Linked DNA regions of Mus musculus. The protein of the gene in region 1 binds, or shares a complex with, the protein of each later gene. Links are inferred from orthologs where the notes say so. Each region holds a gene or a part of one and is shown in the gene's direction. Other genes may lie near its edges. The genes, in order: Rps6ka1, Sntg1, Magi1, Sntg2 and Synj2bp.

Region 1 (5,493 bases):
GTGTCGACTTCATTGTGTATGTGTGTGCACGTGTGTCTGTATGCATGTGTCTGTACATATATGTGCATGTACATATACACATGTGTGCATGTGTCTTTGTGCCTGTGCATGTATGCATATGTGCATGTAAATGTGTGTTATATGTGCATGTGTCTGTGTACACGTCTGCATGCATATGTGCATGTCTGTGTGCATGTGAGTGTATGCATGTGTGCACATGTCTGTGTGCATGTGTCTGCATGTATGTATGCATGTGTCTGTGTGTATGTGAGTGTATGCATGTGTGCACATGTCTGTGTGCATGTGTCTGCATGTATGTATGCATGTGTCTGTGTGTATGTGAGTGTATGCATGTGTGCACATGTCTGTGTGCATGTGTCTGCATGTATGTATGCATGTGTCTGTGCATGTGAGTGTATGCATGTGTGCACATGTCTGTGTGCATGTGTCTGCATGTATGTATGCATGTGTCTGTGGTACCTGTGCATGAGGATGTCTGAACATGTGCATGTGAGTGACCATGTATGTCTAGGCTACAGGTTTATCTTTTTATTGTGTGAGTCTCTCTTTGAACCTGGAACTCACCTATTTGGCTTGCCTGGCTGACCAATGAGATCCTGTGTCAGTAGCCTCCGCAGTGAGATTATAAATGCTTACTGGGAAAACAGCATCTGTTTTTATTTCTTTTTTGATTTAATTTAATTTTTGATTTTTAGACAACATCTCTATTATGCAGTCCACACTGGCCTCAAAGTCACAATCCTCTGGCCTGAATCTCCTGGATTAAATTTATTTCTATTTATTCATTTATTTATTTACTTAGTTGGGTTTTTGGGGTTTGGGGGGTTTGTTTGTTTTGTTTTGATACAGGTTCTTACTGTGTAGCCCTGGCTGGCCTAGAATTGGCTAAGTAGCCCAAGCTAGCCCTGAACAGAGATCCTCCTGCCTCTGCCTCCCTACTGCTAGGATTAGAGGCGTGAGTGACTTCTCTCCACTTAAAAATGTACTGCATTAAAATGTCTTTATCGGGGAAGGTTGTCCCTGTGCACATTTGTGGAGGTCAAAGGACTGCTTATGAGTTGGTTCTCTTCCACCACATGGGGCCTGGGGATCAGACTCAGGGAAGGCAAGCTCTTTTACCCATTGAGTCCATCCACGGACCCACCCCACACTCTTTTAAACACCAGTGTGCTCCTGACCTGCTGTGTGACTTCGGATAAATAGCTTAGGGTGTCTACTAGGATGGGGTGGAGTCTCAAAAAAAAAATCACAAGCTGCCTGAAGGTGGAGGTCGGAGATACTCAACACGACCTGGCCGGCAAAGCCTGGGTTCCATGGCCATAACCAAGCAAGGAAACGTAACAAAAAATAAATTCCCTATCAATGACGCCTGTCTTCGCTGGAGGCTTTTAATAAACGAGCCAGCTTGTCTTTCACCTGAGAGTAAGTCTCACGACACCTGGGGCCTAAAATCTCCTTAAGAGCAGGCCAAATCTTACTGGAGAGAATCCTGATCCCACCAGAACTGGATTTTGCCTTCTTTCCAGGGACTCCTGCTCAAGTCAGACCACAATCTGGTCTGCCACGGAAGAGGCGCGGACCTGGCCTGAAACCAGCGCCCTCAAGTGATAGGGCACAACAGACTAGGAAGGAGAAAAAAAAATGCGTATTAGGAAATCACCCTGGGGGCGCTGTGGGTCCTGGCGCTGGCTGGCTTGGGACCCGGGGATCACATGGAGACCCCAAAGTGTGGGCTCCCGTGATGTGCACAAGCTTTCGGAAGGGGGCGATCCTAAGGGCTTGGAGAGCTGAGAGCCAGAGGGCACAAGGCCCAGGCTCCTTCCACGCCTCAGTCGGGATCAGGCCCAGGACGTCCCATGTAAATGTGGGGTGGCAGCCCCTCCCCCTGGAGGGAGAAGGCACATCTGGGTTAACATCCCAAAGGCTGCTAGGACAGGACAACGGAGGCCCCAGCGAGGTCTGCAAAGCGGCACAAAGCCCGGGAAAACGGAACCCGCGGAGCCTCCGGTGGGCAGGGCCGACAGTGGGCTGGGGTCTCTCGTGAAGGCAAGGCTGACTCCCGGCGCGTTGGGGGCGGGGGTCCGCGCCGGGAATGCCGCGCCGTGGGGGGACTGGGCGGGGCTACTCAGGCCCCGCCCCCGCGCAGGTAGCCAATGGGCGCGGCGGCGCCGGGTGACGGAGCGAGCCGAAGTGCGAGTGCCGCGGCGGCGGCGGACGGCCCATCCAGAGCGCGAGGGGCTCAGGGGCGTGCGGGGGTCTCGGTGTAGCAGCAGGGACCCCGTGGCCCAGAGGCAGCGCTGCCCGGGGCCGCCGGGAGGAGCGCGGGCGGTCCGGCAGCGGCGCGATGCCGCTCGCCCAGCTCAAGGAGCCCTGGCCGCTCATGGAGCTGGTGCCGCTGGACCCGGAGGTGAGTGAGAGGGGCGGGGGTTGGGGGGACAGGCGGCGGCGGCCGGCCAGCCCGGATCCGCACCGGGGCGGGGCGGGGGCGGCCCGCGGCGTCTCTGCAGCCCCGCGGGGACGTGAGTGCCCTCCGGTCTCTAGCTCACTGTCCGGCTCCACCCCCTTGTGCTCCGGGTGTGCGTGTGTAGGGGATGGTTCTGCTGGGCTCTCAGTACCTCCCTGCAGTAGCCAGGAGAGGAATCTCCACGGTGTGTTGAGATCTGACACCTAGGACCCATCCCGCTTATCATCTTTTAGTAGCTGTGGGAGTTGCCCCAATCAGTGCAGAAGGGAGAAAGGCTTGGGTCAGATGTCTAGGCTTCTACTAGAGACAAGGATCATGGGAATCCGGTTTCTCACCTTAACCTCTCCCCAAGACCTCTCTTCGTTCCTCCACTTCTGACCTTAGGAAGGTAGCCCTGCTGAATCCCAGGCAGTTATGGAACGTGGGACGATACCACCTCTGGAGTTGGAGCCTGCTTTCCTTTGCCCTAAAGCTAATGACACCGGGTCTTCCTACTTCAGATTATGCTGAAGAGTGGGGAAAGTCCTTAGATCTTGTGAAGACTGTCTCTGTAGAAGAGACTCTGCCTCCGTCTTCCTCTCTCCCTCCTTCCTTTCCTGTAGAAAAAGGCTGAGCCCTTGGGCAGTATGGCTTCTGCCACCTAGCCTTTCCCAGAAGCAACTCCTGTCTTTTTTGAGGGCTTTGTGGTCCAACCCTGAGCATGCAGGAGGCCACTTCTGTGCTGTCCTGTCACCCTGGGATCAAGGTCAAGTTTTGAACCAGCAACTTTAAAACTTTCCCTGCTCTCCTGCTGCGAAGGAGGCAGGTGAAACTCTGCCTTCCTTCACTGGAGCTGTTTTGGGGTACAGGAGGCTGGGGTACAGGAGACCTCACTTGATCCCAGAACCTAGATGCTTTTTCTCCTGGCTTGAACCCCTTTACCTATGCTTGGTACCTCAGGTCAGTCACTGTGAGCCCTGTCTCTCAGGACCACGGGCAGAGAGAGGATCCACAGTGAGATCCCCAAGTCTCCAGGCACTCAGGGCATGCTGCCCCTTTAAAGGGATGGGCTACACTGGCTATTGGAGGGTGGGCGCGGCTGGATTAGGTAACCAACCTGAAGGCGCAATTTGGAGTAAATTGTTCTGGGATCCTTGCCACGGGGGTTTTACAGGCCCTACACAGGCGCTCAGAGGCTGTCTGGCTGACTCACCCTCCTAGGTGAGGAGCACTGCTCTCTGCAGCCCCTGGTGCTCCCCCCACACTCCCCAGGACTGGGGCACAAGGCCCCAGGGAAGGCTCAGAGGTGTACTCCTTGGCTTGGGCACGCCCCTGCCACCTGGGCCTCCAGAGGAAGGGAGGCCTGACCTCGGTATGGCTAGGGAGGGACTCAGCCTAGGGACTCACAGCTTTACCCTAGCGCGGAGAGTAGAGTTCTAGGAGTGCTGGCCTCCTCCAGGGCAGCACTTCCTGCTTCCCTTTGGGAAATCCTGAGGCCAGAGGCAGCCTCATGGGGGCCAGGTTAAACCGGAAACATCTTAGTTTGAATACTGTTGCACCTGAATTCAGGCGAGGGGAGACTGTCACATTTCCTGGGATGGGGGAGAGGAGTTTTTTCATTGAGTTTCACTTCAGAAATGTTGTGTGGCCCTAAGTCCATCTTCAAGCTGTCTGGGCCTCTCCTTCCAGCACCACAGATGAGTTTCTAGCTCTACTTCCTGGGCCTGACAAGGTGCAAAACCCTGGGTCCTGCTGCCTGGGTCCCCTCCCCCAGGCCATGGAGGTGCCTGTGGACTGGGTGTTATTGTTTGGGTAACCAGAGCTGTGGGGCAGTGAGGGTGTGCATGCTCACTTGAGAACAGGGCCCTGCTGTTCTTCGTGCAGATGACACGTAAGTGATACAGTGCCTAGCCTGCAGGTACTGGCGCCATTGTGGCCAGGAAGAAGGCAGGTAAGGGGGCTGGCAAGGGCATTTGGCAGAAGAGGTCTGGGATCTGAATTGCCCTGTCTTCCCATTGCTGTCACCAGAAGTGGGCTGCTGGCAGGCAGGGCCCAGGTGGACTAAACCAACTGGACGTAGGGGTGAGGATGTTACCTGGGCTTTTTTTGGTTCTGCTGAAAGCAGCAGAGCTTTGTCTCCAGCTGCTACTTATTGATGTCATGCAACTTTAAAAAAGATGACCCCCCCTCCCATTTTCAAATGGGAAGGCAGGACTCAGGGATGCTGGCGTGTGCATTAATATCAGGACTAGAACCCAGTGCTGTCACTGTTTCCCTCCAAGCAAGAGAGACTCAAAGATGAGTGTGGGGTGGGTTTCAACTGGCACAGGTGGCAGGTAGGCAGAGAGCAGCTCCGGATGTTGGCACACACTTCTCAGGCCTCAGGGCCTTTGTCCAGCCTTGGCTGAGGGCTAGCAGTGTCCTGGCACTTGGCCCCCAGGCTCCAACAGTGCAACAGGGCTGCCAGGGCTGGGCTCAGAACCCAGTTCCTGGGGCTGCTTCCTGCCTGCAGGGCACGTGCTGTCTTTCCCCATCTGTTCTGCTCCCAGCTTTTCCAGAAGCTGCTCTGGACCCTTAGGTAGAAAGCAACATGTCTGTTAGGACCCGACTCTAACTCCTGGAAGGGGTACAGGGCACTAGGGGTTCTGAGCAGATGTCCATCTTCATGAGCTGTCCTCCTGAACAAGAGAGGAGAATAGAGTGCTCCAAGAGGCCAGGGGGACTTCCCTGTCTCAGGCTTTTCTCCCTGGTTCCAGGGTCTGGTCTTCATGTCATTTGTCTCTCCCTTCCTTTTTCCTCGCCTTCCCTCCCCTCCCTCCTTCCATCCAACCAGGGCCTTATGTGTACTACGCAGGTACTCTACCTCTGAGTTAAATCTCCCCCTAGGCCTTTTTAAAAGTCAGTTTCCCCAGGGGCCAGAAGAGGGCATTGGATCCCCACCACCCCTCCAAGCTTCAGTTACAGGCAGTTATGAGCTGTTCAACATGGGTGCCGGGATTTGAACTCATGTCCTCTGGAAGAGCAACAAG
Region 2 (5,709 bases), on another chromosome or scaffold:
GGTGATATTGGTCAAGTCAGCTTTCTTGTCTGGAGTGTCTCAGTTCACACGAGGCTTTTAGTTAACTTACTCACCATACACCAACAACAATAAAACTAAATGAAGAAACAAACTAAACAGTTTAAGCAACTTTTCTAAGTGGCAGAAAAGAAAATTCTTTCTCAAGTGAGTCAGCCATCAGAATCACTTAAGAGAAAACATAAAAACAAAGTGGTGTGGGATGGGATCTCATGGATGTTGCTAGTGGCTGTTTAGGTGACTACTTTTCTTCTGCTCCATTCTATCCACAAACAAGAAGCAAACTGGACTGAGTTTTGTACTTAGTCAATGTGAGGCATCTGCCTTTATCTGAAACCAATTGTGCTCAGTGCTACAAGCACAAGCACACATGAAGCCCCAAGCACACATGAAGCCTCAACAAAGAATATCTTCAACAAAGAATAGCTGAGCTGATTAAAGTCACCCCCCCCCGACCAGTTCTTACACAGAAAATGAGCAAAGACTGTGCCCCCTAGCACCACTTCGTTAGGAAGTCCTCAGAACACATCAAGATAGTTGTTTCATTTCAGACATACTTGCCTATAGGTATTTTTAGTTGTATTTGATACAATAAAAAGAAACAGAGTAGAATTCAACTGAAGGCACTGAAACTTTAAATTGAACACTACCTAATTTTTTATATTGAGTGTTGACTAGGTCAGTTGAGGACTCTGGTCACTGCCTGTTTTTCATAGGTTGTTGTGCTAACTTACCTTCTGTATTCTATTTATACATTCTATATAAGAACATTTAGAAAATAAAAGTAACCTTTAAGAATAAAAGTGATTTAAATGATTTTTTGGACAAATCTTATCCAACAGAAAATTTACTTAAAATAGCTCTTCAGTTCACCTCAGACTATCTGTCCCTGTTTTATTTATACTTTATTTATTTACACTTCATTTATATACATTTGTAGCATCCGGTGATACACTTCATCATCTTTGTCCCACAATGCTTTGAACAGGTTGACTAGGAGGAATGTGCTACAGGTTTGTTTCTTCACAAAAAAAGACATCAAACTGTCATAATCAGCTAGTCTGACAGTTCAAATTAATCAACCCTTTCTTTTTTCTTGGTGGCAAGAGAGGGTGGCAGGAGAGAGGGAGGAGGGGAGGATGGAGAGGGAGGCTCTGTTATTAGCATGAATCTGTGCTCTACAAAGGGAAATCTCTCCCTGTGGTTGGATAATGAAGCGCATATGTTTTCAATTAGCAACATCTCGGTGCTTCACTTAAAGGCTTTTATTTGCTGTGCTAATTTCCTGTATGATTCATGTTTCTACATGTACAAAGAAAATGATTCAAACAATTACGTGAATCAATTGAAACAAGCATGCAAAACAGCAAAGAAAACCCATTTATTTTCAGGGGTTGGCCACAACAGGCAAACACAGCCTTTAAACAAGCCATTTTCATTCTCTAACCAAAAATAGGGCAACTACTTTAACTTATTTGGAGAAAGACGTATTTGTTTGCATGGATAACAGAAACACATGTTTGCATTGGTAGAACGAAGTGGGAAACGTAATTTACAATAATACTGGAGAATTTATTTCTCCAGGAACCGGAAAACAAAGCAGCTCTTTTAAAATTAGCTCCTAGTGCTAAATTGCATCTTATGTAGTGTTATCTCAGAGTGCTGAAGCGCATCATCAACTAGGCAACCTTTGGACTCCAAAATTCAGATGTGGAGAAAGTGGATGCGAGCCTGGTCCCTTGAGCTTTTTCTGTGAGGGGTAGCTCCACAAAGCATCCCGAAACGAGGGCGACACTTACTGGGGGCCTCTTCTAGCGCGAGCCAGGGGGTGCAGCTAATGCAAGGAATGGCCCCAGACCAGGGAAAGGAGGGTTCGTGCTGGAGGAAGGATGCTCAGTGCACTTCTCCAGAACTCCTTAGTTTCCCCCAGGGCAGTCGCCAGGCCTTTGGCGGTGCTGTCGCCTCCCGCATCCACCCTACAGCCCAGTGAACTGCGTAAAATGCGGGCGCCGCAGCTCCGGCCATAGGGGCGCGGAAACCCAGCGGGAGACGCTCGTGCAATCACTCCACGACTTTCCCAGTGCAGCCGGAGGTGGATAGGAGCGAGCACCCAGCAGCACTGCGTGCCCACGCGTTGTCCCTGCGCTAAGCCTGCACGCCCCCCTCGGTCGGAACAAACTCCGGGTGCACAAGTCTGCGCTGCACAAGTTCTTCAGCTGGAGCTGGGCGCTTACCCAGGTTGGCGTTTGTGGGGCGCTCTTCAGCCTTACCACAGTCACTCAGAGCTCCGCAAAGACGCCGTGTTAAGCAGATTGCCCCATTCTCACTCTGTGTATTTCAGTTCCCCCATCTCACTCCATTCGTGCCTGCACCAGTTGCCTTGTGTGGGCGGCGGAACCTCGGCGGCCTCCTACAGGGCCACCTTCTCGAACCCGCGTCCAATTCCACCGCAAGCTTCTCTACTGGAAGCCACCAGAAGCCTGACCGCGGAGCTAAGTAACCCGGGGGACGTCTCGGTCCGGTGCCTAGGCCTTGCTGGAGCCTTTTAGGGATAACAGCCCTGCCTACCTGATCCACTACCCTCATCCAGTCTTTTGTGCGGCGACACGCCCCCGCCCCTGCGGGAACCCGGGCTGTAGGCGGTGGGAGGGCGGGAGCTGGAACCCAACCTCCCTGTCCCTGCTGTCCCTGTCTGGGGCTCCCGGCCACGGCTAAGCTCTTCGCGGCGATACAGCCTCTCGGAAACAAAGGTATCCCTAGCCTTTTCCTGGCCCTTTCACGGTTTCTGCATTTTCTGACAAGAGTCTGTCTGTGTATCTGGGAACTGAGCATCCTTACTCTGTCATCTCGGAATTCCATCTAGAGCTCCGAAAATGTGAACGTGTCCGCGCCCTGGTTAGGAAGCAAGATCGCAGGGGGACCTCCAAAATAGCCCTTCTCATCTTATGTAATTAAGGACCCACGAGCTTCCCAAAAGCACCTCTACAGTCTCCACAGTGCTCAGCTTCTCTCCTCCTCCCCCTTCTCTCCCCTGTCTCTTTCTCTCTGTCCCCCGTCCCTGTGCGCGCTTGTGCGCGCGCCCGTGTTCGTGCGTTCTTTTTTCATTTCTACCATTAGGAAACCTACTCAGAGCCGCTGTGAACTTAGAAGAGGCTCAGCATTTGTTTCCCACGGATTTCTGCCTCTCCGGAAACGTTGCCAGCGTATACACATAAGGGTATCAAGATGGAGAGACCATTAATCCCCAAGAAATGAAACACGGCGGAGAAACGGCAAAGCTAGAAGTCTGGAAGAGGCCTTAGCAGGAGTATAGGGTCTGGAGTAGACTAAGGGGTCCTGGTTCCCCTCGCTTCAGCACCGGAAGGGATGGACAGCGTCTCCCAGCTGCGTGGCTGCCTGGGAGACCCAACTGTGTTGCTGCTGCTGCCTCTGCTGCTGTCCTCCTGGCCACAGTCATCTACAAGAGCTCTTAGCAGCTAAAAGGCGGTGCCTCTGGTCCCCTTCCTTGATGGACGAAAACCAGCCCTCCTCATCCTCTACCACTCATATCAACCTAGTTAAACTCTAGGCAGCAACTTCAAGAAAAATTTCTATACAGGACTCCGGGGAATGCAGGCAGAAGAGTGGAGTTGAAGTTCTTAGAAGCACCAAAGAACCATGGGCGTTGCAGTAGGAATTGAAATTCTCAAAGGCCCAGAGTTTTTAAAATAAGAACGTCCCTGAGTGGATTGCAGCTGTTGTGGAGACAGCTTTGTGAGAGGTCAGAGATACTAAAACCCCAACATTAAAGAAGCTGAGAAGACGTCAATTCCTCTGCTCAGCAGGTATGTGATAATACTATTACATCTGTGTTTCACCACACACTAATGACTTTGCAAGGTTTAACAGAAAAGATACAAAGATGCTGAGAATTAAGGAAAATGAGTACTTCTGGTTGTTTAAAAGTAATAATTCCTAGATTAGTATCTTAGAAAATCTCTTCCTTGATAAATTAGTCTGGAATTTTACTTTTCTGGAATCTCTTGACAGAGGTGACAACAATATGTAGTTGGCTTACATTAGTATAGCAAACTTTTACTTGGACATTTTCTTCTTGCTTAACTAATAGCTTTGGGGATCTCTGTGTATCTTATTGTTTTCTTTAAAACTAATGTGCACTGGTGTTTGGCGATCATACATATTTAGCTAAAAGCGACTCTGGTTGTGTTATATTGCATCTGAAATATATATTTGAAATTTAAATATATCAAAAAGTTGGAAATGGCTCAATCACCTCTTGTAATATTCTAAATGGTTATATTTTGTTAAAATGTTTAAGGCACAAAATATGTACGCATCAATATCTGATCCCTTTTGTAATCAGAGTCCCCAAGTGTAGCTAGACCTTAGACTTATCAACAGATATCTCAAGGCAGGAAGTGAGCAGCTTCCTTGTGCGTCTGTAAGAGAGTAGGGTTCCTTCAGTATTCTGACTGATTAGTTCTACAAAACCTATTTGTTTCTGAAATCAAGTGATAGAGACTAATCAGTTACTAATAGACCATAAACCTTAACATGATAATTAATTTTTCTTGATACTTAACGTGATAATTCTTTCTTGATACTTCTTTCTAGACTCTTCCTTTAGAGCTTTAAAATTACAGCTTCCACAATGACCTTGATAAGCATTGGGCTTTAATGAAAGGGGTTTTCTGTGTAAAAAGCAGTTATACAAATGTGTAGTCCATGGCTGGCATTTCAGAAAGAACTCATTCAATTCCAGCGATTGCATTCTGCTCAACGGAGAGCTTTGACTCACAGTAATGAGTCTCATAGTCGTGATGGCATATGCTTAGCCAAGTCTGTGGAAAGAGTTTGTCTCTTGAAAAACTGCAGGAGTTTGGAAGAATTTTTTTTTAAATTTTATAAACCATGTATAGCTGAAAATAAAATACCTTTACATCACATACAGTAACTCTCACTTTCTTTCTTTGAATGCCCAATCTCCTGAGCCAGGGTGGTACTTGTTGGTAGACTCATGGCTGCCTGTTATATAGTGACCAAGAGTAACAATTCTACTCTGAGGAACTGTCATTTTTAACTGTCACTCACCACGAAGCTGCCTGCCTCACAGAGAGCAGCATCTCCTTGGAGGCATGTTTGCCCTAGATAGGTCAGAAGTGATCTTTGGAGGACTAGAAAATCTGCACTAATTGCCGTGGAGCCCAGAATTTGTTTCTTTTTCTAGTTTAAGAAATGTGGAAGCAGATTGCCACATGGAAGATGGAATCATATTTTAGCAGAGTTACAGCATGTGACTAGACTATTAGTTTGATTCTTAATTAATTAATGTAGACAGACTCCCCCAGTCAGTGGAGCATAAAATGATATGTGGGAATGTGCTCTGGAATGAAGCCTGTGTGTCTTATGACCGCAGTTCCCTTCTCAGTGGTGGAGGGGGCAGGCTTTCTCTATATGGAACAGAAACTGAGTAAAGTAAAAGTTACCTTTGTCTATCCCTTTGCTGATTTGGAAGTAAATAAGTTGAATTCACCACTCCAAACTCAACCAAGTGTATTGAAGGTCTTGCCAGAAGCTGTCTCTGGAGAAATGTTAAAATACTGAGATAGAATTTTTGTAAGCATCTTTAGTAGCTGTCTAAAGGTTAATCTCTAATCACAATTAAGCAAGTAAGTAAGTGGGTAAATAAGC
Region 3 (5,700 bases), on another chromosome or scaffold:
AAGCAAACCAGTAAGGTGCATTCCTGAGCTCTAAGTTCAAATAGACCCTTTTTGACTAAGTCGGTTTTGGTTAGTGTTTTATTATAGCAACAAAAAGCAAATTAAAACATCCTAGAGATGCTGATGGCTAGATCTCTGTTAGGGTTTGGCAGTTAGGTTTGAAGGGACTGCTCATTTGACCTCAGTAAAACCAAAACCAACAAAACCAAAAAGCAGCCCCCCTCCCCCAACACCACTATCACCACTTGGGGGAAAACACAACCAACCAATCCCCCAAAAACAAAACCAAAAAAAAAAAAAACAACAACAAAACACCAGAGACATGAAATTCCTTTCACCTTTTCAAATAATCAGGAGCAAGACGGTTTTTTGTGTGTAGCCAGTCTTAGGGAGCCCAGGCCATCCTCTCCTAGACTTTGCCTTGAATTCTTGGTCCCCATGCCTCAGCCTCACAAGTACCAGGATTACAGATGTAAAACGCCAGGCCCTCATTCTTATTAACTTAGAATAGCTCTCTAGAAACAGGGCTTGAAGAGCTTAAATGTATGCTTATGTTCTAGAGAGGGGATTACAACCCCAACCACTAAGGACTCTGACACCCCCCCCCCCCCCAGTTATCAGACTGTGAAATTTTATATGCCACCATAAATTATTTACTTTGCAAGTTTCCAGTGCCTATGTATTATTTCTAACAACTCTGTGTGTGAGGTGGGGTGGGGTGGGGGTGGGGGTGGAGGAGGGGGTGGGGGTGGGGGTGGGAGTGATTGTATTCCTCCAGCCTTGGCAAGTGGAAGGTCTTCACTTAATGTTGTACTTAAGATGCCTGCGGAATCTGAACTTCAGACCTATCCTCTCGACCCACCTCAGTGACATCCTCATCTCTCTGAGTGGCTCCAACTCAGCTCCTTTTATCTAGTAGATTCTCAAGTCCGTGACCAAAGAGGAACTCATTGGAAACCACTGAAAAATAAACAAAACCGCTAGGGCCACCACTGCACTGGCTTCTTGGCGGTGGGGGCTGTTCTTTCTGTCCCGGCCTCACCAGTGCCCCGATTACTGGACCCCGCCTCTGGGCGGCGAATTCCGAGGTGGCCGGCTCGCCCACGCTTGTGCAGGACCCGCACCCTGCGGTGATCTTTACTCCCCAAAGCAGTGCTTAGGTTTCTCGGCTCTCCTAGAAGCCAAAGGGGGCTGGCCACCGCCGCCCCCTTTGCTGGAAGGACAATGAGAGGCCAGCGAGAAGTCTTAGGTAAAAAGGCCACGCTAGCTTTGGCTTTTCTCGCTCGCTGGCAGTTTTTTCCTTGTCCTAAAAAGTTGGCCCCAAAGTTTAACGATGGGAGCGTATGTGTAGGTGCGTTTGGTGGGCGCGGACAGGGATGCAGAGGGTGTGTGGGTCTTGTTGATTCGGGTCCTCAGGGTCACAGAGACAAGAGCCAGGCTCCGCATGTGGACTTGAACCCCTGGGCGGGGAGCAGGCGCGGAAATGTGGCGGAAGGCGCGTGAGCGATGGCGTGGCCAGGCACTAGCGGAGGACGAGGAGGGACCCGGGTAGGCAGCAAGAGTGTGAGCCCCGCGCTGAATTGGTCTCCCAGCCCCCACCTGTTTGAAACGATTTGCAAACACCAAAGCCAAATTCTCTGTGTTCCAAAAGTTCGAGAGCTGGAGTCGGGCAAGCACACGTGTTCCCCCAAAAGGCTCTGGCTGAGCCGACCACACTGCAAGAGGAGGAATTCTAGGGGTGCAGGGAGAGGAGCAAGTTGGCGTCAATGAAGGGTCGGCCCTAGGACCCCGCGGGAGGCGCGTTGGAATCTCTCCCTTCCAGGAGGAGGGGTGGGGCGGGCCTGCCCGCGGGCGGCCGCCGGGCGCATGCGCGCGCGTCTCCTCTCCAGCCGGCCGCTGCGCTCCGCCGCGCGGAGTAGAATGAACTGTAACAAAACAAGCCGAGCCTTTGTATCTGCTTAAAGGGGCCGCGGCCACTTCCCTCGCGTCCCCTCACCCCCGCCCCGCGCCGTCGCGTCTCCAGGGCTCCCGGCAACTAGCTTGGAAAGGGCTTCCCTCGCGCTGAGGAGCGGCCGGCCGGCGCGGAGCAGGCGCGGCGTGTGTGGAGAGAGCCGCGGAGCGGAGAGCGGGCCCGGGCGGCGCCGGAGTGGACTCTGGTCCCGGGAGCGCGGTCGGCGCCGGAACGCGGACCCGGAGGCACCGGAATGCAAACAAAGCTCGCGGGCGCCCGTGCAGGGCTCTTCACGGAGCCCGGAAAGTTTGTTTTATGATGGCTTGAGAGCGCGAGAGAGTCGGGCGAGGAGGCTCGAGTAGCTCGCTCCCGCGCTCCGAGAGATGCTTCTCCCGTGAGCCCGCCGCTCCGGGGGCTCGTGCTGTGGGGGCACCTGTCTCTCGTTTTAGCAGTTTTCTTTTCTTTTTCTTTTTTTCTTTAATTTGAATTTTGTTTTCGAGGAGGGGCTGTAACTCATCATGTCGAAAGTGATCCAGAAGAAGAACCACTGGACTGGCCGCGTTCACGAGTGCACCGTGAAGCGGGGACCCCAGGGCGAGCTGGGGGTGACGGTCCTGGGGGGCGCGGAGCATGGGGAGTTTCCGTACGTGGGGGCGGTGGCGGCGGCCGAGGCGGCGGGGCTTCCCGGCGGTGGCGAGGGGCCGAAGCTGGCCGAAGGTGAGCTGCTGCTGGAGGTGCAGGGGGTCCGGGTGTCCGGCTTGCCCCGCTATGACGTGCTGGGAGTCATCGACAGCTGCAAGGAGGCCGTCACCTTCAAAGCCGTCAGACAAGGTAAGACGGGGCGTGCCTTTGGGGGGCGCACCCCGAAAAAGAGGGGAGGCCTGAGGGGGCGCCGTTTGCTCCGAGTGCTGTGAGCCAAAGTTGAGGCCCGGACCAGATGCACTCAAAGTTGTGAGGTTGTGGGCTGTGCGCCCACCTGCGTGGCGGGCTGGGGCCGGGGTTGCGCCGGGAAGCGGGGAGATGCTTCCCAGGTCTGGTTTGCCAACTTCTAGGTCGTAGCCACCTAGTGCTGCGCAGCCTCGCCTTCACCTTAAGGCAGATGGGGAACTGAGGGAGGCTAAGGTGGACGCTTCCCCCAGCCCCTTACGGGATGGATGAGCTCACGGAGCTGGTGGCTTGCCACTGCCTGTTTCCCTGAACTGGAGAGTGGGTCGTGGAAGGAGAGGGTCTATTTATGGTTGATTGGAATTCTTCCATCACAGAATTTGCCTTCATCCTGCAACCCCTCCAGGTGGGGCTGGGTTATAACCCACTGGAGTCCTTAATCCAGCCTCCTGCAGAGCCCGCAATCACCCCACAGCGGGGTGACGTCTGTGTCTCCTCCTTGTGGAGACCTACGGTGGGGGAAGGGGTGATTAGCGCTTGGCGCGAATCTAGTCCAAGTTTACCCAGCCACCTCCTCCTCTTGCACCGTCGTCCTTATTGATGATGGTTGTTGAGAGTTACAATTCATTGTTAGCGTGTTATGTGAGAGGCTGTCTGTAAAGTGGTTTAATTGCATTATCTCATTCTGATTCACATCAATGCTATAAGAACGACTCGGTTTTTGTAAGTCCTATATTACAATAAGTAAGCCGGGTCTGACCTTAGGTAAATGACTTGCCCAAGGTCACACAACTACCAAAAGTGTATGGGTCTTTTTTTGTTAAACCTTGAGCAAGGAGGAGGAGGGCTTGAGGGGACGACTTTCGGGACCTGAGTTTTGGGGTGGGGGTGGGGAAGCAAATCCTCCCCTAGAAGTCTGTAGGATAAGGATGGCTTTCTGTAGGGTAAGGATGGCCGTGGGAGAGTACTCCCTCGCAGTTTGGTCTGAGCAATGGTCTGATCCTGTAGCTAGCCACCGGAGCATAGCTGCAGTCCTTAGAGGCATCCCTCCTGCACCCAAGTGCTGTGACGCAGGTTCTCCCAGATGAAAGCACCAGAGGAGGTGGCAGAGTTGAATGTGGTGAAAAGTTGCCATATGTTCCTGTCAGGATGGCAGCAGCTGAAGGAAACGTGTCAAAGGAAAGCGGGGAGAGCCAGCGCTCTCAGCAGCAGGCCGCTTCCAGATGACCGGAGGATGAGCGCAGTACTGTGTGCGGGGAGCCTAGTAGCCAGGCCTTTCTATCCTGTTGGGAGCGCAGAGGCTGACACCTAACAGTGGAATGTCCATATCCTGCTACTTGGCCTTGCTTGATGAATCTGTCCTTAGGAGTTTCTGGTAAAATCATAACCGAGGAAGTGTGCTGGTTCACAGTAAGTGCTCAGGAAAAGCGAGTTGTATTGGAGTTGGATTTAAGCAGTTAGCAATTCAGTTTTTAGCTAGGAATTTAATGCCAGTTCCCCGGGTGTTTATGACTTGGTAGAGCTGTTGAGATAACACTGTGACAGGCATTTATTTATTGGGGGAGGGGGGCAGCATTGGGTTTGAGTTCAGGCTCATTTTGCAGAAAGATTTCTCATCCGGCAGGATGGCAGGATGTCTGGGTGGTGGTAAATGGGTCCTAAGACTTGTTGACCATGGGCAAGAAGCTTCCAGAAGCTGAGCTCTTCCACTATTTTGCAGAGACCCTGGAGCTAGCTAGTACCCCTTCTCCCTCTCCACTCTCCCTTCCTCTCTCTCACCCCTCTGTGTGCACTTTAGTGGTGGTGGTGGGAGATGCCTGTGGATTTGACAGTTATTATAGTGCCTTCAGGTGTCCTATGATCAGGGCTGTCTTTTGCCAACAGAAATGCTCACAAAGGGAGAGAGTGGGCTTGTGCTTCTGAACAGCCTTGCAATAGGCTATGAGTGCTGTGGAATCCACCACATTATAAAGACTGTCACATGTGATAATGACATGGGCACAGTTACTGTGAAGATGACCCTAGGAACCATTTCAACAATCCTCTCACTTTCCTGTTGCAAAATGATTTAAATTATAGGACATATTTGTCTCCACCTTTTTTTGTTACTGTGTCTTATTGTATCGAGTAGACTGAGCTAGTATTTGGGAAAAATATATTTTTTATGGTGTTTCCATTTTGAGTTAGCTCTCACAGGGACATAGTCACTCTGGGTACATATCTGCGTGGAGATGTCACAGTCTTCTTGTGGTAGAAGATTGTACTCTTTGTGTTGCATGGCAGGTTTCTATAGCAAATAGTATCTCATGGATAGGAGTGGGTTGTGAACGAGACTTAGTAGACCCACATTAAGTGGAGAGGACAGTTGTTGGTCATAACATGCTTAAAAATATTAGAAATGTATGTATGCTAGTTGGATCTGTGTATGCATATTATTTTCAGAATTCAGATACTTAATATGCAGAATAATAGCAGAATTCAGATCTTTAAAAAACTAGACTTTTAAACTGATATGTGTGTGCGTATATATGTATATAAGCATAAAAACAGTACCTACGGGTTTGTTTTGTTTTTGAGGCAGGATAGTCCGAGGATCGCAGGTGTCTGCTGCCATGTCTAGTGTACTGCAATGTTTTGATACTTGTATATATGTTATATCCGTTTAGGTCAGATACCAAGTGTCTGCTTTAATGAATTTGGGCATGTGTACTCTCTCATGTTCCTTCCAGACACTCAAATAAATATACACAACATTACCATCACCTAAATATTCCCTTCAGGATTCTTCCCAGTTACTCCCCTGTCAACCAAGGGTGTTGGTTCCTCTTACTATAGATTTGAACAATTCTTTTACTTCATAAAAG
Region 4 (4,909 bases), on another chromosome or scaffold:
GTTCCAGAAGCCTCCTTTAGTAGTCCCTGTTGCCTGCTTATACCCCTCATCTGGAAGTAGGGACAACTGGTGACATTCAGGTCCCTATAGATGACCTTGACATGCAGAATCTCAATGGAGCCGTGTCCTAAACAAGCACATCAGAGACACATTCCAAGGATACGGCTGCCTGTTATTAGGTGTGGCCAGCCGGGTGAGTCTATGATGGATCATCAGGCTGTGTCCAGTGCTTTCCTCCGTATTTTATTGCTTTGGCTATTGTTCTGAAAACATTTTTAAAGCACTTGCCCCATTTGGTGGTTGTGAGGAAGAGGCTACCTCTACCAGAGCAGTCAAATGCAACCCTTTTCTCAAAGAGTGGGTTGGGTTGAGTTCTGTAGTCTGGACTCAACCCTCCATTCCTGACCTATTTCCAATATATACTGTTTTGGGTTTTGTTTTTGGTTTTCAGTTCTGGCTTTCAGATAACTATTGGCTGCAGGCAAACCTGTATCTTGGTCTCCAAGATTTTGACTGTGAAGACCCCAGGTCATACTGCTTCAGCGTCCTGGCCAACCATGGGAAGAGCCACATCTTCAGTGTAGAGCTGGGCAGTGAGCTGGCCGTGTGGGAGAAGGCATTCCAAAGAGCAACTTTCATGGAAGTTCAGAGAACCGGGGTGAGTATGTTGTGGGACTCACACTCTTCTCACTATCAGCTTTGGGGCAATATCTGACACCTTGGGGATGGAGTGTAAATAAGGATTTATTTCAGGAAAGAGAACTGTGAGAGGTGAATGGCTTTCATCTAAGTCACCATGTCGGAGCAGTCATCCGTGCTGAGCAGGGCCTCCATTAATAAGGAGAGCTGTCTGTCACAGGCTCTTGCATCTTGGTTCATATCTGCATTCATATTTACTGTGAGGAAAGGGCTGAATCTCCTTCCACTGCAGAACTCACAGACTGCCGTGGGAGGAGTTTGCACGCTGCAGAGCAGTAGGCTTGGAGACAGCTATAACCTGCTCTGTATCACCTGCATGTGCAATATTTTAAGACACTTAATGGCTTATCCTCTCATATTTAATGGCCCAAAGGAGAATGTGATACAGCAATGTGTCTGAATTGCTTCTCTGTTCTTGAAGACAGCAAATAAATCATCCACGAATTTAAATGTGTGTCCACTGAGCAGATAAGGAAGGAGGCATTATGGTTTCTGTTGTCGTAAATATGGGCCTCTTCATAGGATGTTTCCTGCTAGAGAATGACAGAAAATAAATGAAGCAATGCATCAGACAAGGTCTGTCTCCTTGCCAAGGTACTGGGTTCATGACTAGTCTGGTGATAACACTGAGAGAGTGATCACAGAAACAAAAAGCAATTGCTTCATTTCCAGCATGAAAAGATTCTGTTTATTTACCTGTCATTTGGCTGCCAACCTGCACATGGGCTCTGGGCTGTGCCAAACCATTACTGAGCATGGATCAGCCCTGATCATTCATTACACGTGGCATCTCTTAGATCACTAAATGTCCTAACATCCAGATGTCCATAGAAACTGAGATTTTCCCCTGAGGCCATCATTCATGGCGTGGGGGAATTGGTTCCTGATCCTCAATAGCATCTTAGAGCTAAGGCACCAACCTGGTGTCTCACTTTTTATAGAGTATGACATTGGAGGGAAAGTCCACAGCATTGAGGTCTCCTTCCTCAAGCACTTATTAGATGTGATATCTTGTACCTACCTAGAAATAATCTACACAGATAGCCCTTGCCACCAGAAGGCAACTTTGAGATGTCCCTTGTAGGGAGGGGACTTTGGGGCTACTTTGCTCTGACAACAATAGCACAGATTCTGCTTTGGAGACACATGGATGGTACCCATCTGGCCACTGCTCTACAGAGCCTCAGTCCAGGGACCTGGGACAGCATTGTCAGGTGAATACAATCTTCCTGAGGACCAGGGACAGACAATCAGGAGATATGCTGAGAATAAGAGGAAGCTCAATCATGGAACTTGGTGCTGGAGGGAAGCTTGTGGGCACTGTGAGTTATTCAGTCCGATAGATATTTGTGTCTGTAGTGTTGTTAGAAAGGAGACCTTCCCCTCACAACGGATAGTAAGTCCTTATGTATGTTCAGAAGTGTCATTCTCTAAAGGAGGATAAAGGTAACTAAGGAACTGGAACCATCACAGCCGCGACATCTATTCTCCAGCGGTTAACAGTGTTCAGACAAGGAAGGAGAGGGGGGGAGGGGAAGGGGGAGGGAGAGGGAGAGGAAGAGAGAGAAGAGGGGAGAGGGGAGGGGAGGGGAGGGGAGGAGAGGAGAGGGGAGGGGAGGGAAGAGGAGGGGAGGGGAGGGGAGAGGAGATTAAGGTTGAAAGAAAGGAGGCAAATTCTGAAGAAAACACTGTCAGCATCAATTACTGAGCTTGTGCAGGTCTTTCACAGTTGGTAAGGAAAGGAATGAAGATGACCCAGGAACTTTGGAGAGTCTGAAGGCTCCATTATAACTTAATACTCTGTTCTAGAAACTTAGGAAAGACCCTGAAGGCATTTTCAACAATGACCTACCCCGGAAGTGACTTACCGTCCCCGAATTTCTGTATTCCCTCTGAGAAACAGGTAGACAGGAGAAGGGTTGGATGCTTTTCCGATTTTCAGGCAAGCTCAACTCTAGACATCCTCTTCCCCTTTCAGTGTCTTGATCAGTCATTCTCCAAGTTATAGCATGATTCCTGAAAACAATGCATTCTAACATAGATGCATCACAAACTACCCTAGAAGCCCATACATACTTTATGCCAGGCCTCCTGCATTCCACACACCACACTTAACTTTTAAATGTGCAGAGAAGGCAACATTGATTTCCTTTCTGCTTCTCTGCACATAAGGACTCTATGGATTTTTCACAGCAACCTAGAAATTAAATTATAGTGGTGTAGTCTGAGAGTTCCTATGCTATATGCCCTGTTCTAATAAGACATACCGCCTCCCTAGATACAGAATGAAATTATAGGAGGGACCTCATAAGTAGTATATATAAAACACAGTAAGTGCCAGTCTCCTTTGATGGTTAACAAAGCTACATTTATTTCATGCATGTCCCATCTCTGGTTTTTCTTCTTTCTCCAGCTTTATGTGTATTGCCTTGGATCTTGTGCCAACCCAAGATTCACTATGTTAAGTGTAGGTGATATACATGATGCAATGTTGATATCATTCATTCTTCTTCCTGGTGGCAGCTGTGGGCTCATTTTCCTGCATGCATTAGCTAATTCGTCACCTCTATAGAAAGTCTTCTGAATGGTGCCTTTTGTGCCTCATGGACTCAGGGTACATTTCTACAGATAAGAGCCTCTATACCGCTGGGCAGTGGTGGTACATGCCTTTAATCCCAGCACTTGGGAGGCAGAGGCAGGTGGATTTCTGAGTTCGGGGCCAGCCTGGTCTACAAAGTGAGTTCCAGGACAGCCAGAGCTATACAGAGAAACCCTGTCTCGAAAAAGCAAAACAGAACAAAACAAAACAAACCAAAACAAAAGCCTCTATACCTTGCTCACGTGGACAGGACACGGTGCAGAAAAACCATCAGATTCAGAAGAGTAAATTGAGACTTCTCACTGACCAGTCTCCTCAACTTACATAGTCTAAATCAATATTGTTCTAAATAATATCCATGTAACAGATATCCAAAATTATTAAAGTCTCATTGTCACCCAGAAACATCTAACCTTTTCCATGGGTCCACTTTCTCCATTACTACTTCCCAGATTCCCATGAAAATGCCAAGATTGTAGCCATAGCCTTCAAACTGCCTTGCCATATATGCCAGAATATTTTAATTAAAATATATGCCCATTGCTTTGCGCATATAACTTTGGAATTTGAAATATTTTTATGCACTTTCCCACATCAGTTCCTCTCACATTTTGTTTTTTATAATAATAACATAGAGCCAGAAAGTGTAAAATATCTGTCTAATAGGTTGCTATTGGCTACAAGTAACAGGACTCGTTCTGCAACAGCAGTGAGAAGAAAAGGTGGCCCCAGTAACTCCACTTTGCTAGACTTCAGACTTGGATGTATTTGCTACCCAACAGATTGCCTCTTAGAAGCAAAACGTTTTCTTATGAATGCTTAGTGGACAAGGAAACAGTCATAAAATTCAGGTCTCTTCAGACTGATTCTGCTAGCTTGGAACAGGAGCTCATCAAACCATACAGTGGTATAGGGAACACCATATGCTAACGGATCTCTGCTACTACCCTCCACTTTAGGAACAGGGAAGATATTAGTTCCCCTGAAGCATAGTGGCAGAGGGGGCTAGAAGCATCTCAGTTATGAGAGCCCTATGGGAAAAGAGAACCTGGGCATGGATGCCAAGCAGGCAGTCAGGACACTGCAGACTTTCTGAAAGACAAGGGGATCTGAATACAAGAGGAATCCCATACTCCCCAAAGATTTTTAAAGCACATGCATCTCAGAACCTGTGGTAAATCAGTGCCATGTCTTCGTTTTTACATCTCCCGAGCCTTCAAGCTCTTTGGTTGTGTTCCAAAGCCCCCAGGTGGTTATCAAAACCTTGGATGTATTGAATCCTATATTCAGTGTTTACTTGTGCATGTCTACCTATGTTAAGGTATAAGTTATAGAGATAAGCAATAACATGGACACAGTATATGTAGCAGTGACAGGTAGTGAGCTATGTAAGGAGGTCCATTTCTCCTGTAATAGGCTCCTGTGTTGTCTTCATCCCCCTGCTATGATGCATGATGATGTAAGATGATGCAGTGCCTACCTGACGGAGGGAAAGGAGGTGCCAACCTAGCCATTGTAGTAGGTGGTATAGGCTCAGGCTACCATAAAAGAACTGTACAACAAGAAATGTCACCAGGGTTGGGGGATGGGAGGGTCATGACAACTTCTAAG
Region 5 (5,498 bases), on another chromosome or scaffold:
GAAGGAAAACTTTAAATCTCTGAAGGAAGGAATTCAGGGAGCTACTAGAAAACAGAAAAACTATCCATACTCATGAATTGGTAGAATATTGTGAAAATGATAATTCTATCAAAGGCAATGTACAGATTCAGTGCAATCCCAGTCTCTCAAAGTCCACCCCCACAGTGACACACTTCTTATAACAAAGCCACACCTCATAATAGTGCCACTCCCTAGGCCAAGCATAAAACATCACAGATGAGGATTAGAAAACAAAGCACTCAAAAGATAGTAAGGGACAATAAAAAGCATGGCTATGTGTTCATTGCTTTTAAAGTAGTTATCTATGAGGTTTACGTGGAGTTTGAAGTCACTGTCTTACTAGTAGATGGTTGTGGAGGGGCACCTGACAGGTACAGTTGACAGAGTTGAGGTGTAGTTCTACAAATAAAGGAAGGTAGGACATGTTACACGTGGTTTAAGATTCTCAGGCAATTTCTAGAGAAAGGAATGAAGTTCCTGTCCACCTAGAGCCATACACATTGAGGTTTTAGGCTTAGGACATTGACAATTTTATATACATTATCTATGCAGGGAAGAAATATTAAGTCTATGTCAGCAGCCTTTACAGCAAATGCTGCTCAATGTGCTAGAATGCTTGCTCAGTTGGCAAGAGTTTTTTTTTTTTTTTAAATGGGTAATTTTTTCCTTCCTTCCTTCCTTCCTTCCTTCCTTCCTTCCTTCCTTCCTTCCTTCCTTCCTACCTTTTCTTTCTTAATATGTAAGTACACTGTAGCTGACTTCAGACACTCCAGAAAAGGGTATCAGATCTTGTTACAGATGGTTGTGAGCCACCATATGGTTGCTGGGATTTGAACTCATGACCTTTGGAAGAGCCGTCAGTGCTCTTACCTGCTGAGCTATCTCAGCAGCCCGGCAAGAGATTTTAATCAGACCTGGAGATGACAGGATCCTTCTCCCCTCATGCCTCAGGTTCCCTGCCTTCTTGTCCTGTCTCATTCCTATAGAATCCACCTCTGACTTGTTTTAATAAACCTGAGTTGCTGGCTTGGCTTTTAGCCATAACTTTGAATACCATAGTCTGATTATGCAGTCTTTGATTCTCTTAACACCACAGGAGTCCCTTGAGTCACCATACATATTTATGGTCACCTTCCTGGTCCTTAAGGCCTTTGTAGTTTTGATACCTGAAAGTTTCTTCACCTCTGTTTGGAATGTCCGATCTTAAAAGTCAAGATGGGCTGGAAAGTCACATCTTAAGTCTTGCAATCATTTTGTGAAAAGGACATTTCACCTCCTTTTGCTTGGAGGATTTTTCTTGAACAAGCCTATGATTATCTTTCCTCTGTATATGTGTACACATTTCTTAAGTTAGATAGGCCTATTATTAAATGCAAGCCAGGGATATATACATCTATTTAAAAGTTAAGTAAGAGTCTTGTCAGGTCTAAGTTAAGAAATCTTGTGCATAAGGCCCTGGAAAACAATGCTCTCAGATGTAAATATCAGGGAAATCCTCACTTCCTGTCATGTGTGTCAGCCCAGGTGCCTTGCTTTAAGCAGTGAACACTTGCTTGATGAGAGAGAGAGAGAGAGAGAGAGGGGGGGGAGGGGGAGGGGGAAGGGGAGGGGGAGGGAAAGGGAGTGGGGAGGAGGAGGAGGGGAGGGGGAGAAGGAGAGATGGGGGGAGGTTTCATTTTTTTATTTGGATACATTTTATTAACTAACACGGGGACTGCTAACGAAGGAACTTGAAGCAGTGTTACCAAGTTTTCTTACATGGGGCATCACATTGGATTTCATCTGTATTGCACAAAAGGTTACAATTTCCCACCCAAGTATGCAATCTCATTAGTACTTTGCCTATGATGCCTTTCATAGAGTGGTTTGAGGCTCATAAAAGATCTCTCTCACACACACACACACACACACACACACACACACACACACACACACACATTTGTAGATATTTTGAGATTTTTATTTAAAATGTCAAACGTATCAATGTAATTCTATCTCATACCATTATTACCCTCTCTCCTTCCCCATGCTCTTCCAGTGTAAGCGAGCATTATACCTCTCTTTGCTCATGGCTCCTCAGGATCGGCCTTGAGAACAGTGCGAGGTACCGGAAAACGCTGGTGGGCTCAGAGAACCACCACTCCCAGCATCCTCCACGTTCCCAGTGCCCGCGGTTTCCTTTTCCGGTCTGACCGCTGAGGAAACTGTAAAAGCTATGCTGGGGAGGCAGCGCGGAGCTTGATTCACCTTCACCTGCTCTGGCCACCCGCTGACCCGGGGTTTCCGGCCGGAGAGCAGTCAGATATGAACGGACGGGTGGATTATTTAGTCACGGAGGAAGAGATCAACCTGACGAGAGGACCTTCGGGTAGGCGCGGGACATGGAGGGAGTAATTGCTGCGTCCCTTGCTTTGGCGGAGCCGGGTTTACCTGGCTGGAGAGCAGGCAGGCCCCGACCGAGCGGCTTCCCAGAACGCTATCGGGCACGGAGCAAAGAGTCCATTGGCATCTTTTGTTAGCTAGATAACGGACCCAAGGACTCTGCCCCATAATCCAGTCGGATTACCACAGGCGTTTATGGCCAGGACGGGTTTCTTGCTGTTGGTGGCAATAGCCAAGACCAGGAAAAAGCCCGCTGTTTAGCCAGCGTGTGGGAGCCGCCGTATCCGTTATTCAGTTGCTTGCTCCATCCTTGTTTCTTCGCCGAGGGCCCGTTCAGGTAAAAACAGGAGCAGCGAACGGCGGTGTGTGTGTGTGTGTGTGTGTGTGTGTGTGTGTGTGTGTGTGTGTGTGTGTTTCTGAGTGTCTCACAGTTTCTCCGGTGCTAGGGTCCCTGCCTGCATTTTTGCGGAATCAATTTACCATATCAACTGGAATGCTAAAGCGGGCGGAGACCTTTTACAGAAGTTTTCAGACCTGGCCACACTTGACCACCATTACTTGGGCGTTTTCGTTTTTACTTTTTAGCAAAATATTGAAATGAAAATGTTGTTTTCTAGTCTCACCTTTAGAAATTTGGATTCAGTGTGGATCAAACAATTCTTGAAACAAACACTTCATGTGATTCTGACAGGAAAATTCCCATTTAGCGTTGCTGTGTGGTCTTCCTCATGGATGCTCATAGCTGGATTACTACATCGTGTCACTGCCTTCCTTAGGCTTTGCAGTTTTCTTTATGGCCTTAACATTTTAGGTTTAGGGTTCACCACTTAGAGCCAAGATTTTTTGTTTTTGTTTTTTGTTTTAAATCTAACATCTTACCAGTTTTTTGTTGTTGTTGCTTTTTTTTTTTTGGCTTGTTTTAATGTATTGGCAGAATAACTTAACTGATGGATTCTTGTAGTTTCTTTTCTGTAACATGGAGACAGTTATGAAATGAAGCGTTTCACATATAGTGTTAGGATGAAGCCACTTGCTCTCTGGAAAATATTTAGGACAATGTCTTGATATATGGTAAGCAGTGTGTATTTGTTACTGTTGTCATTAGTGAGTGAATGGCTAAACTGACTCCAGTAAGTTCTGTTAGATACTGTATTCCAAGAGTTGAATAAATCATTGGTTACTGTGAATTTCTATTCTGATGGCCACTACTTAGCATAGTCTGTTAACTTTCCTTATCTATAAGTTTGCAATAGCTTAATCACTGCTGACTATTCTGTGTAAAGCACAGCTTTCAGAACTAATCATATATTTTGTCTTCCTGTTATGAGAAAATTGGAAGTTGATCATATTTATGGGAATAACTCTCTGCTAATCTTTGTGGTTTATACAGAAGCTTTGCTCTGGGTAGTTCTTTGGGGGTGCTGAGGTAACTTGACAGAAGCTAGAGTTAATCTGGGAAGACCCTTAGTTGAGAAAAAACGCCCCCATCAGATTGCTTGTAGGCACTCCTGTTGGCCATTTCTTTTTTTAAAGATTTATTTATGGCCGGGCGTGGTGGCGCACGCCTTTAATCCCAGCACTCGGGAGGCAGAGGTAGGCGGATTTCTGAGTTCGAGGCCAGCCTGGTCTACAGAGTGAGTTCCAGGACAGCCAGGGCTACACAGAGAAACCCTGTCTTGAAAAACCAAAAAAAAAAAAAAAAAAAAAGATTTATTTATTATATGTAAGTACACTGAAGCTGTCTTCAGACACTCCAGAAGAGGGCGCCAGATCTCGTTACGGATGGTTGTGAGCCACCATGTGGTTGCTGGGATTTGAACTCCTGACCTTCGGAAGAGCAGTCGGGTGCTCTTACCCACTGAGCCATCTCACCAGCCCCCTGTTGGCCGTTTCTTAAGTTGATGATGGAGATGGGAGAGCCCAGCTCACTGTGGGCAGTGCTACCATGGGGCAGGTAGGTGGTCCTGGATTGTACGAAAGCAGGCTGAGTAAGTCATTAGGAGCAAGCCAATAAGTAGTGCGGTTTCAGTTTGTGTCTCCAGGCCTGTGTTGACTTCTCTTCATGATGGTCTGTTTAGGATTCAGTAACTCCTTTCATCCCTTCATGCTTGTATCATGGTGTTTTTTTTCATAGCAGTAGAAACCTAAACTAAACTCAGAAACTTTTGCCCAAGGCTTTTCAATATGCCCAAGTTTCTTGAATCTAATTTTCTTATTTTATTTAATTCTTCAATCCAACTTTGAGATTAACGTAGTAGAGATGGATTTTTATTACATTTGTGTGTCTATGTGTTTTTGTTTGTTTGTTTGTTGGGGAAGGGGCCCGTAGAGGTCAGAGGACAACTTTCAGGAGTCAGTTTTCTCCTCCTATCATGTGGGTTCCAGGGATTGAACTCAGGTTGTCAGACTTAATGGCAAATACTTCCTACCCGCTGAGTTATCTCACCCAGCAGTCTCAGATCTGTAAATAAAAGTCTGTTTTTTTTTAATGTGTTTTTTAACCTTTTGCTAATGAACCCATAGGATCAATGAGATACACATTTCTGATTCCCTTTGCAAATGCATTAAGGCATCTAGTTCTTTAACCTAAATAACCTACCATGATACTACTTTTTGTGATGTTTGAGATTGTCTTCTTGCCACATAGCAAGAACCCAATATACTTGGATATAGAGTCTTAGCTGTGGTATCACAGTATTACCAGGTCTTCTGACAAGAGCAGACTTCTGATATTAATCACAGTATTACCAGGTCTTCTGACAAGAGCAGACTTCTGATATTATTCTTGCTTTAAGCATAAAATTTGACATAATATCATTGTTTAAACTTTTGGGCATTTGAATAGGCATTGTCTAATTTCTAAGCATTGAACTTACAGATCTAAAGTTTCTAGTCTTAGTATTTTCCTTCAAAGATTAGAGCAGGGAAAAGCTTCAAAAGACTAAATAAGAGGAATACTTATAGCTAGTTAACATATTTTTACACAAAAGGGTTTATTTTTGAATTGTATAGTTATTTGTTTAAAAATAAAGTTCCATTGAGTGGTTTCTGGACTTTTTATAAAATATTTTAAAATATTAGTCATTGTCATTAGT

What was found.
Region 2: the proteins of Rps6ka1 (region 1) and Sntg1 are in contact, whole or in part, in a crystal structure (PDB 7PC8), measured with the Homo sapiens proteins. The link is inferred for Mus musculus from reciprocal best matches to the Homo sapiens genes RPS6KA1 and SNTG1. Residues at the interface, in NP_002944.2 of Homo sapiens: Arg728, Lys729, Leu730, Pro731, Thr733, Thr734, Leu735; in NP_001274742.1 of Homo sapiens: Gly67, Phe68, Gly69, Leu70, Ser71, Ile72, Lys73, Gly74, His78, Ile80, Ser85, His118, Glu119, Val122, Leu125, Arg126, Arg141.
Region 3: the proteins of Rps6ka1 (region 1) and Magi1 are in contact, whole or in part, in a crystal structure (PDB 5N7F), measured with the Homo sapiens proteins. The link is inferred for Mus musculus from reciprocal best matches to the Homo sapiens genes RPS6KA1 and MAGI1. Residues at the interface, in NP_002944.2 of Homo sapiens: Pro731, Ser732, Thr733, Thr734, Leu735; in NP_001028229.1 of Homo sapiens: Arg480, Gly481, Phe482, Gly483, Phe484, Thr485, Val486, Val487, Gly488, Asp490, Lys499, Ser500, His532, Val536, Phe539, Gln540.
Region 4: the proteins of Rps6ka1 (region 1) and Sntg2 are in contact, whole or in part, in a crystal structure (PDB 7QQL), measured with the Homo sapiens proteins. The link is inferred for Mus musculus from reciprocal best matches to the Homo sapiens genes RPS6KA1 and SNTG2. Residues at the interface, in NP_002944.2 of Homo sapiens: Pro731, Ser732, Thr733, Thr734, Leu735; in NP_061841.2 of Homo sapiens: Gly82, Gly83, Leu84, Gly85, Leu86, Ser87, Ile88, Lys89, Gly90, His94, Ser101, Lys102, Phe104, His134, Val138, Leu141, Arg142.
Region 5: the proteins of Rps6ka1 (region 1) and Synj2bp are in contact, whole or in part, in a crystal structure (PDB 7P74), measured with the Homo sapiens proteins. The link is inferred for Mus musculus from reciprocal best matches to the Homo sapiens genes RPS6KA1 and SYNJ2BP. Residues at the interface, in NP_002944.2 of Homo sapiens: Pro731, Ser732, Thr733, Thr734, Leu735; in NP_060843.2 of Homo sapiens: Arg18, Gly22, Leu23, Gly24, Phe25, Asn26, Ile27, Val28, Gln33, Ser45, Arg46, His78, Val82, Phe85, Arg86.

The regions. Positions count from the first base shown.
Region 1 is NC_000070.6:133,884,505-133,889,997, reverse strand, and holds the start of Rps6ka1 (ribosomal protein S6 kinase alpha-1), read left to right. Parts: upstream 1-2,200; 5' UTR 2,201-2,365; coding exon 2,366-2,428; intron 2,429-5,493. UniProt on the Homo sapiens protein: Serine/threonine-protein kinase that acts downstream of ERK (MAPK1/ERK2 and MAPK3/ERK1) signaling and mediates mitogenic and stress-induced activation of the transcription factors CREB1, ETV1/ER81 and NR4A1/NUR77, regulates translation through RPS6 and EIF4B phosphorylation, and mediates cellular proliferation, survival, and differentiation by modulating mTOR signaling and repressing pro-apoptotic function of BAD and DAPK1.
Region 2 is NC_000067.6:9,296,266-9,301,974, reverse strand, and holds the start of Sntg1 (gamma-1-syntrophin), read left to right. Parts: upstream 1-2,097; 5' UTR 2,098-3,842; intron 3,843-5,709. UniProt on the Homo sapiens protein: Adapter protein that binds to and probably organizes the subcellular localization of a variety of proteins. May link various receptors to the actin cytoskeleton and the dystrophin glycoprotein complex.
Region 3 is NC_000072.6:94,280,092-94,285,791, reverse strand, and holds the start of Magi1 (membrane-associated guanylate kinase, WW and PDZ domain-containing protein 1), read left to right. Parts: upstream 1-1,874; 5' UTR 1,875-2,469; coding exon 2,470-2,782; intron 2,783-5,700. UniProt on the Homo sapiens protein: Plays a role in coupling actin fibers to cell junctions in endothelial cells, via its interaction with AMOTL2 and CDH5. May regulate acid-induced ASIC3 currents by modulating its expression at the cell surface.
Region 4 is NC_000078.6:30,222,517-30,227,425, reverse strand, and holds part of Sntg2 (gamma-2-syntrophin), read left to right. Parts: intron 1-451; coding exon 452-658; intron 659-4,909. UniProt on the Homo sapiens protein: Adapter protein that binds to and probably organizes the subcellular localization of a variety of proteins. May link various receptors to the actin cytoskeleton and the dystrophin glycoprotein complex.
Region 5 is NC_000078.6:81,529,607-81,535,104, reverse strand, and holds the start of Synj2bp (synaptojanin-2-binding protein), read left to right. Parts: upstream 1-2,193; 5' UTR 2,194-2,325; coding exon 2,326-2,389; intron 2,390-5,498. Other genes in the region: Gm20498 (Synj2bp-cox16 protein), read left to right, coding at 2,326-2,389. UniProt on the Homo sapiens protein: Regulates endocytosis of activin type 2 receptor kinases through the Ral/RALBP1-dependent pathway and may be involved in suppression of activin-induced signal transduction.